2 linked regions of the Drosophila melanogaster genome follow. The protein of the gene in region 1 interacts with the protein of each later gene in a pairwise test. Each region holds a gene or a part of one and is shown on either strand. Other genes may lie near its edges.

Region 1 (5,120 bases):
CTACACAGGGTTTCTAATGCAATTTCTATCAAATGTCAATTGAAACCCGATTTGCCAGTCATCAGTCAGGGCCTCTATTCCACGCCCAGTCCACAGTTTGTGGCCAGCGAACGGAAGTCGCGGGATTCGTGGAAAAGTGAAAACGGGAACGAGGAAGGATGCTCGACGGCAGAAAAAGAAGGACATGAAGCAATTTCCGCTTTCAATCACGTTTAGTGCACCGGAAATGTGTGCAGAAATATGTTTCTTCTCCCATTTTCCTATGCAAAATTTTCCAACCGGAATGAGGTTAGATTGTAAATTACATTTGGGTGCGGTTCAATCTATTTTCACGGAAAAGAGGGGCAATCGAGCACCATTGAGTGTCAAGGGAAACTCAATTAATTGCACATTATGTGCGAGGAGTATGCGTTCGATTGATTTTTTGTCACACTTTCTGTCTCTTTTTCTTACACACGCTGCGTGTTTCACATTACACACTTTATCAGTGCACTGAAAGCTATTTCGTGGTTTAAGAAAAATAAAATTACCTAAAATATATAAGCAAAATATATGGCTATAAAGAAATTATGAGAGATGAATAATAATATAAATATATTTAAAAACTTTTTAATTCTTATAAATAAGTTTTTTTTATTTAAAAAATAATAGTACCTTAACAGAGAGTAAGCAGTGTTCAAACAACTAGGTATGGTTCGCTTCACCGTTTCATTTAATTAAAAAAGTATGTACACATATCAATGAAACTGTCAATCAGGAAAAGTGGACATACTAATTAAAAAGTTTATGCGATTTTTCTGTGTGCCTGGTTTCACTGGCTACTAGAACACACACGTAAATCAATATATGGCTCGATTGGCTCGTTTGCACACGAATCCCCCTTCCATGGTGGAGAAATGAATAAAGAGACACAAGGGCCTGCGGAGAAAGCGGATGAAATGTGGCTGTCCTGGTCAGTAAAGTGGCTGGAAACAGAAGCAACAGGCAACACACATATTACCTGCAAATTACGTCAACTGTTGCCGGGTCAGGTTAAAAGAGGTCGGACTTCAAGTTAAAATGGTCGCTTCTTCAATGGAAAAAATAAGCAGCTACAAAAGTTCACCGTAAAAAATAATAGAAGGGGAATATTTGTATCTTTTCTCTTAATTTAGTGGTTAATTTGTAATTGTATATTATATTTATTCTTTGATCAGTCTATGTTTCTCGAAATAATTGACTTTTATAATAGAGTGAACTGCAACTGCAGTAGATTTATTTTCAGTGAAAAGCTCGACATGAGCCACGTGACCCCTGCACGGCAATGTGAAATGTCAGAGCACTTTTAAGAGTTCATTTAGACGGTAGCAAATTTTATACCGAAGCGTTTAATGCGGTGGATGTGCATGGGAAAATACTGTGTCAGAAAAAACGGTAAACACAAGCAGGCAAATGTCAACAGGTTGTTTCTGTTGCATCAGTAATTGAGGATGAAAACGTAATGGTTTTTCGGGGAAAGGAGTTCCCTGGACATAGTATTCCAGTGCGTTCAACGGTGGCATAACTTATTTATAACTCATTTGGGGTAAGCTTGACCCCATTCAGTTTGTTAAATATACACAAGGACATGAAGGACCCTAAATGGGAATTTACATCCCTACCTAAAATTGCTCTATAATATAAAGAGCTTAAATAAAAAATGTAATAAATATTAACAAGCAAGTTGCTGTTTAGATACGTAAAAATATTTAAACAAAATTATGCAATTTATGAAACTAAATGTACATTCAAGGACACAAATTGATGTAAGCTAATTGTTTACTTTGGCATGACAACACTGGCACAAAACGAAAGCTTTCACACTACAGGTGTCTTTGCGAGCGAGCGACAAGTGTGGTGAATTTTGCGAACATCCTTGAGCACGCAGTCACCGTTGCAAGCGCAAGCGAAGGCAGATTGTGCGAGGACTCGGTTCGAAATCAAATCAAATTGATAACAGAGAGAAAGAGAAAGCAAGCACACGAGAGAGCGAAAAAGCACGAAGCCAGGCGAACTTTTCCTTTTCCTTCAGCAGGAGCCACGGATAACGGGACAGTTCGTCGCGGAGTTTCGAGTGTGTCGGTTGTGCCATAGCGGAATAACGGTACAACAAAGCCAGTGTGTGTGTGAGTGTGTACGATTGTGTGGGTGCCTCAGCCTCAGTGTTTTGTTGTCAAAAAGAAACTATAAGACGATGACTGCTTAAAATTTAATATTATTATTAAAAAATCATCCAAAATATGCTTGGCATAAATAAAAACCAAAGCATAGATACTATGCCAATTAAACAAACGCAGCTTCGTATAATTAATATATATTAAATTCCAAAACCTATCAACGTTATTCAATTTAGTGACTGCAATTAAATAAAACACAAGAATGTGTTTTGATATCAACTCTGTTGAATAATCAAGCAGAGCAGACTGCGCAGTTTGGCGCCGCGTGGGCGTTTGCCCAAAAATACAAGAAGTGAAACGGAGAAAAGGGCAGAAAAAACCTAAGAAATACATAAATCTCTCCTAGACAGAAAACGGTGTGCCTGCCTCTGATTTTTACTTACAAGTTGCTTTTGCAGTCTTATGCAAACGCAAGATCTTTGCACTCCTATTTATCATAATGTATCCACTTAAGTAATTCCAATGTGTTGGAACTCTTGCTTTAAAAGAATAACTACTTCGAATATATTTAGGTATTGTTCACAAGAAATATATAAATTTCTCAAAAGAACTCCTTTACTCTGTGCCTATTTAGAAACATATAATTAGATAGGAAGTACATTCATATCAAAGTAAAGTGAAAAATACTGTAGCAATTATGTGATGAGAATTAAAACATTCGACTCATTGAAAGTAATTAATTATTTCAAGCAGTTTTGCCCTTTCAGTTAAACTTTGGATCATTAAAAAGTAAAGATCCTAGGCTATAGGGCTAACTTTTTCAGCCATTTTGTTTCGTATTTTGCAGTTCTGACCGCTGTAATGTCCTTGCAAGTTGCACCTTTTCAAAACGTTGGTGTGCTAAGAGCATTCAGCCTTCTGCCTGCCAAAGGAGAAACGACAACTTTCCACTGCTTTCTCCAGCACTTTGCTGTCTTCTTCTTGGCGTCTCGCTTTCCCTTGGTCATGAAAATCAAAGTCCCCCGTGTGCCCAATGTCAATGTATTGGCCCCATCTGTGCCTATTGCTTCGGTGTGAGCGCCCACACACACACACACAAACACACGCACACGCATAGGCGTATATGTATGTGTGTATTATACGGGTGTTTGTTGTGGGGGCGTGAAAAGTTGGTCTTCCTGTTTGAGTTGCGTATTTGCGCGCCATTTCAGCATTCCGCTTTTTATTTACTACAAATTGCTTTGCATTTTGGACCAGTTTTGCTTTTGTGTAATTTTGCTTTCCTCTTTTTATTTTTTGTACTTTTGTGTTTAATGCGCTGTTGGCAATTTGTTGGATATAAAAATTACAACGCACCCGCCCCTCCACCAACGTCTGAGCAATGAAATATTGTAATTAACTTTTCTGCCAACGGGCAAACCGATGGAAATTTCTGCCTTCATGAGGCGGCAACAGGTTATACAGCAGCATCAATTAATTTTTTTAATAACCGACAGTTCACGCCTAATAAATATTCATGAATATATCAGCTCAGCTGTAGGGAATTTACGAAAGACTAGCCAACAAATGTACTCCTTCCGCGATTTGCTTTTGGCAAATTTTAAGAGTATTTAAAAGTTTCTTTTTTTTTCCGTCCCATCAGAAAGTTTGTGCAGCAACTTTCCTCCGTTGTCCTTGTGGGCTGAAGAAAACTTTTAGTTCCATTAATTATTAACGATAATGTGTGCTCAGCTCCACGGATGCTAAGTTCAAAATTGCTAGAATACTGGCATAAAGTTGGCAAATAATTGCAAGTCACCGAAGGAAAGGAAGGAATTTTAATCAAAATATTTGTAATATTTGACATTGATATTTTATGCTAAAGTGCGTCCTCCAATTTACAAGTACGCAAATATTTAGACATGAGTTATGACTCTAAATTGAAATTTGAATTCTCTAAAATGGTACTTGTGAGTCAGAACTGTTCAACATTAACACTATATAAAGTATAAGCACTCGAGAATCTTGAATAGCAATCACAAATATTCGTTACACTTCTTAAGTATTAAACCAATAAAAAACTCGACACAAATAACACATAAACTCGATGAGCAAACATTGCATAACTTGAAATAAAGCCAATTTCAACAATAACGAGCCAAAGCGACATTCACCAAATATTCAAAAGCTGGCAAAAGCCAATAGCATTTCTAAAAATGTATTTAAATATTTGTGCACACACAGAAGAAAGCAGCTACAAACAAAATTGAATAAAACCAAACAATAAAAGAAACGTTAAAGTGGAGGGAGATGATGAAGTGAAAATAACAGGCTCAGTGATAACTGATACAAAAGGAAAAACGCTTGAAAATCAGACGTCTTTGATTTTGCAGAAGGCAATAGAAAGTGCGAGTCATGATTTGATTTTCAGGAAAAAGGAGGTAAGTAAATGTTTAGTTATAAGAAAAGTGATGAGTAAGCGATACTCTAGGCAATGCATAAACTAAGCAGAAATATATTCGTTATACTTTTATATTGAAGCTGCGCGTTATTCCTTTGCAATATTTTCCCATGTTCGCTGAGTAAAACGCAACTAACCCAATTTTCATAATTCATTCAACAACATGAAGCAGCTCCCCAAAGTACGGCATAGATATTCCATTTCATCAGATGTATTAGCAAAATGAGACCCGAAACCACCACTCTAGAGATTTAAATTTAGCCCAGACCTTCGAGAACCTGTGCGTGTATGTAGTATATACATTTTATGTGAAGCATATACAAAATTATTGTACATAATTGAATCCCTTGAATTATTTACTCGTTGAGGGTTTTGGGGTTGTCGACGGAGGCAGCATTTAACCGCCATTTGACTCTTAAAGTCCGCAAAGTGTAATAAAATTAAATGGCTTTAAGGCTCAAACGCGTCTGGCGACCCTGGAAAGTATGCTACGAATTCTGTCCAGAAATATTGATGTATCTTAGCGGTTTGAGTGTATGCGTTTG
Region 2 (4,501 bases), on another chromosome or scaffold:
ATTGTTCTGCGGGTTGAGCAGCACTAGATCTCCCTGCTTTGTGAAAATTATATGACTGGCTGGTTGAAGTTCCTCGGGAAGATCGTCTACCAGACGCTCCACCTGCAGGGGATCACTTTTCAAACGACTGATTCGGAGTTCCTTTAAGGTAGAGTAGCAAATCCAGTTTGCATCTGATGAAATGGCAGCAGACTGTATAAAGTTGTGCTCTTTGACATTTAGTTGGAGAAGTTTCTGGGGTGGCAGCTCCAGAAGTTGTTCCTCCGTGTGGCCGACGGGCAGTGCCCAGGGTTTCTTCTTGTCCTCGCCTTGCGGGGCCACAGAACCCAAGCGCCACAGGTGCACGCTGTTGGGATATCGCAAAAGCAAAAGCTTTTTACTGATTGCCATGGAAGCTACGGAACCTTTCAGAAAGGGAGCATGCTGCGACAAATGTGCCTGCATTCGTTCACTGGACGTAATGGTCAATATGCCATCCCTGCCTCCCGAATAAATTTGATCGTCGATAACCAACAGGGATTTCACATAGTGTTTGTGGGCATCGCGCTGTAGGAATTTAATCCAACGCTCGCTGGTGGACTCTTCCCGCTTTATCTTGGTTTTGCTGAAAATCCGGATGAGCGGCGGCTGCATTCCACTGCAAACTAATCGATCCTCCTTATTATTCACAGCCAGGGCAAATACGTTTTTATCCAGAACTCGTGTGGAATCTATCTGTGTCGCGTTATCCGCATCCCAAACGGTAACAAATCCCGCTGAATCACCGGCAATAATCGTATTATCGGATAGCACCTGCAGGGACCAAACTATTACGTTCTTTTCGGATAGGGTCATCGTGTGCAGAGTGGTTCCCTTGAGGACGTTCCAAATGCGAACAAATCCCTCAGTGCCGGTCACCAGTTTAGTTCCAGTCTTATCAAACTTGATGCAGAGAACGCGACCTTTTTGCTTGTTAAATAGGGATTTATAGGTGATTTCGTCATTCTCAATACTCAGGATGTTGATGTGCCCTTCCTCTGAGCCAATGGCAATATCCGTTTCCGCGGGATTCACATCGATACTCCAGAGAGCATTGCCAGTGGGCGAGTGCTCATATCGTTGTTTTAGCTTAATCACATCCCACTCGATCAGTTTACCACTTAAATCCACGGAAAATAAGCGGTTTCCCGCCCAGGCTATAGATTCCACATGAGAATCGGTGGGCAGGTGGATTACACGATCCAAATACGGGGCGTGCTCCAGGTTCCATAGCTCAATGACGGGTGTTGCACTGCAAAGAGTGTACTTATTAGTTTACTGCACAGTAATTATTAGGTTTTTTTTAATTTTCAATAATTTACCGACTCAGAGCGAGGCACTTGCTCGATTTACTATACGCCAAGCTGACAATTTCACGCGGCTTTATAGTGTAGAAGCGCACATTATGCACCTGATGCTTGCCCCTTTGCTGGGGTTCCTTCTTCGCATTATTCGTCATTTTATTTAGTTAATACAATTATTTAGTTAAGAAGAAATAAGGAACAACAACTGAAACAAAATTCCTCTGGAGATGCACGTGTGTGCCTAAGAGTTGCCAGATAGTCTATTTTGTGAGGTAAACAAAGCTGAAGAGTTGCCATCTGACTAAAAATATACCAGATTAACCCTTAGGCAGCCGCTCTATGGCCGCTCAAAAACTTATTTTCAAAATTAAAAATTCTTTTATAAATGTAATTATTAACTATGTCATTATTAAAGATAAATTCTTAGAGATGCATATAAAAAAATTTAATTAGTTTTTATTTCGAATTCATTTTAGTTTTAAGGTTATAGTAGAATGAAAATCTTGAGTTCAATAATCTTTTAAAAACATAATCCAAACAACTACAAAATTAATAAATAAACTTGTTCAATTTACGCATTGGACTAAAGAGTATCTCCTTAAGTATTTTGGATATTTTCCACATCTGGTCAGTCTAAAGGGGGTGGTTTTTGCAAATGTTTTCTTTTGTTGTTGCTGTGGTCCGAAGGAAAATAATTTGGAACTGAAAATTAAACCAATCAACTAATTAAATTAAGTAAAGAAGCTATTAAAATAACGGAAAGCATGATATAGCAAATAAGGGGCACGTAAATTACACTTGGAAGTACAAATTAAACCTGCTGCAAGGATGTCGCCAAATTCTATGTGGATTTTCGGCCTCATAAGTGGTAAATAAATTACGAACAATAGAAAAAATCCAAGCTGATGCTAAATGATTTACAAAACCAACAGCTCTGCTTCTGACTCTGGGTTCGACGGGGCTATCCTCGAAGGTTTTGGAGCTCAGTGACCGGTTCATCGATGTGCGACACGAGGGCCAATGGTTGGTCATGTTCTATGCCCCGTGGTGCGGCTACTGCAAGAAAACGGAGCCCATTTTTGCTCTGGTGGCTCAGGCTTTGCATGCCACCAACGTTCGAGTGGGTCGCCTAGATTGTACCAAGTATCCGGCGGCGGCGAAGGAGTTCAAGGTGAGAATATACCATATTTGGTCCAAGTTCCTTATAAGCATCCCCAAATTCTTACAGGTTCGTGGCTATCCCACCATTATGTTCATCAAGGGCAACATGGAGTTCACCTACAACGGAGACCGCGGTCGCGATGAGCTGGTGGATTATGCCTTAAGGATGTCTGGGCCTCCAGTTCAGCTGGTCACGCGAACGGAGAGTGTGGACATGCTAAAGGGATCCCATACGATATTTTTCATTTTCGTAGGCCAACAGGAGGGCGTGGTGTGGGATACATACTATGCTGCAGCTGAAGGTTACCAAGAGCATGGATTTTTCTATGCCACCAGCGAGGATATCGCTGCCCAACACTTTGACTTTGAGAAACTGCCAGCGGTGATTGTCTACAAAGAAGAGCAGCACCACTTCTATCCGCATGGGCATTTGGCGCACGAAATGGACCCCAATGAAGTGAACGAAACCGTTTTCCAATGGGTGAACGTGGAGAGGTTCACACTCTTCCCAAAGGTCACTCGGTTCAACATCCACCAGCTGCTCAAGACAAACAAGTACTTGGTTTTGGCTGTGGTACAGGAGGATAAGCTCAATCAGATAGCCACGCATGAGCTGGAGTTTCGGGACATGGTGGAGGGCGTGATAAGAAAGCATAGGGCGCGATATCATGACAAATTCCAATTTGGATGGGTAAGTGATTCTATCATAGTTTTATCGATTTGGAGCTAATCAATATTTCCATTTCAGATTGGCGAGCCATCAATAGCACATTCCATTATCTTGGATCAACTGCCCACGCCTCACTTGATAGCGATTAATTCGAGCACCCAACACCACTTCATACCCGAAGATGATCCAATGCAAATGACTCCACAGGCACTGCACCTTTTCCTAGAATCCATCCGCAACGAAAGTGCCATTGCCTATGGAGGAGATACGTACTTTGTACGTTTGAATCGGGCACTGTTCGAAGTGCGAAGAGCATTAAGGGATATGTGGCTGGGAAATCCCGTGCTGACCACTGTCATCTTCGGCCTGCCATTGGGATTCTTATCGCTCATCATGTACTCTATTTTCTGCGGCGATTGCTTGGTCACAGAAGAAGATCCCGATGAAGATCACGAGAAGAAGGAGTAAAGGGATAACTTAAAAATGAATCTAGTGAAAGCTTTTGATTGCGAGTGAATGTTAGAGAAAGTAAATAAGATGATCTCATAGTGCATTTCCGAGCAAGATCATAAAAAGCTAGGAACATACAAGAATATGAAATGATAAATCCCTATAAGAAGTCGTAGAAGACCCCACCCCTCCTCTAGACCACTTTTCTACCGCATATAAATGTAAGCCAAATCTAGTCCTATGTCAGTGTATGTCATTGCCGCTTGGCACGAACTTCCAATACGCTTTAAGATTCGCCATCTGACACAAAGAAGTCCATACGTATTTGGGCATCTAGTTTTGTTTCTCGTTTTAAGTTAGTAAAAGTAATAAACATGATTTAGCGGATGTGAGGAGCGGGCATAACTTAAATTAGATGTTGGGCGGAATTTCGGACGAATCAGCAGCCGTAATCCTCGTCGTCGTCGCTATCGATGGCCGCCCGCCGCCGATCGTATTTCACGGAGGACTTGCTCTGCGGCATCTGAGCATTGACGCTTTCGAGGATGCTGACGAACTGGGCGTCATCAAGTTTTCCACGCACCTGACCCATCTGGGCCATGCGGATGACCATGTTCTCGAACATTTGCGCCTTCTCCGGCTTGCTGACTTTGAGGGTATTAACTAAATGATATTTTATAAGTTATTAGCTAGAGATATTCAAGGTCTAGATCCACATACGTCGTGCCCTGGCCTGCTGGTCCAGAACTTGGGATAATATCGAGTGCTTCATTTCCTCCTGGGCGCGCATCTGCTCCTGCTGGGCTTGTTGCTTTTCCGCATCATTGCCGCCGCCCTAAAAATAGGAAAAAAGGAGTTAAGGTCATTGAAGGATTGCCCTTTAAAGAAACAGGTGTCC

Evidence for each region.
Region 2: the proteins of CG31760 (region 1) and Tmx3 interact in a two-hybrid assay, tested with the Drosophila melanogaster proteins (one large-scale study listed by BioGRID).

What each region holds. Positions count from the first base shown.
Region 1 is NT_033779.5:12,140,712-12,145,831, forward strand, and holds the start of CG31760 (uncharacterized protein), read left to right. Parts: upstream 1-2,068; 5' UTR 2,069-2,122; exon of another isoform or gene 2,123-2,144; intron 2,145-4,337; exon of another isoform or gene 4,338-4,358; 5' UTR 4,359-4,555; intron 4,556-5,120.
Region 2 is NT_037436.4:16,227,151-16,231,651, forward strand, and holds Tmx3 (Thioredoxin-related transmembrane protein 3), read left to right. Parts: upstream 1-1,949; 5' UTR 1,950-2,150; coding exon 2,151-2,190; intron 2,191-2,254; coding exon 2,255-2,493; intron 2,494-2,550; coding exon 2,551-3,174; intron 3,175-3,231; coding exon 3,232-3,621; 3' UTR 3,622-3,989; downstream 3,990-4,501. Other genes in the region: l(3)72Dn (lethal (3) 72Dn), read right to left, coding at 1-1,270, 1,341-1,477; PDCD-5 (programmed cell death 5), read right to left, coding at 4,043-4,266, 4,324-4,438.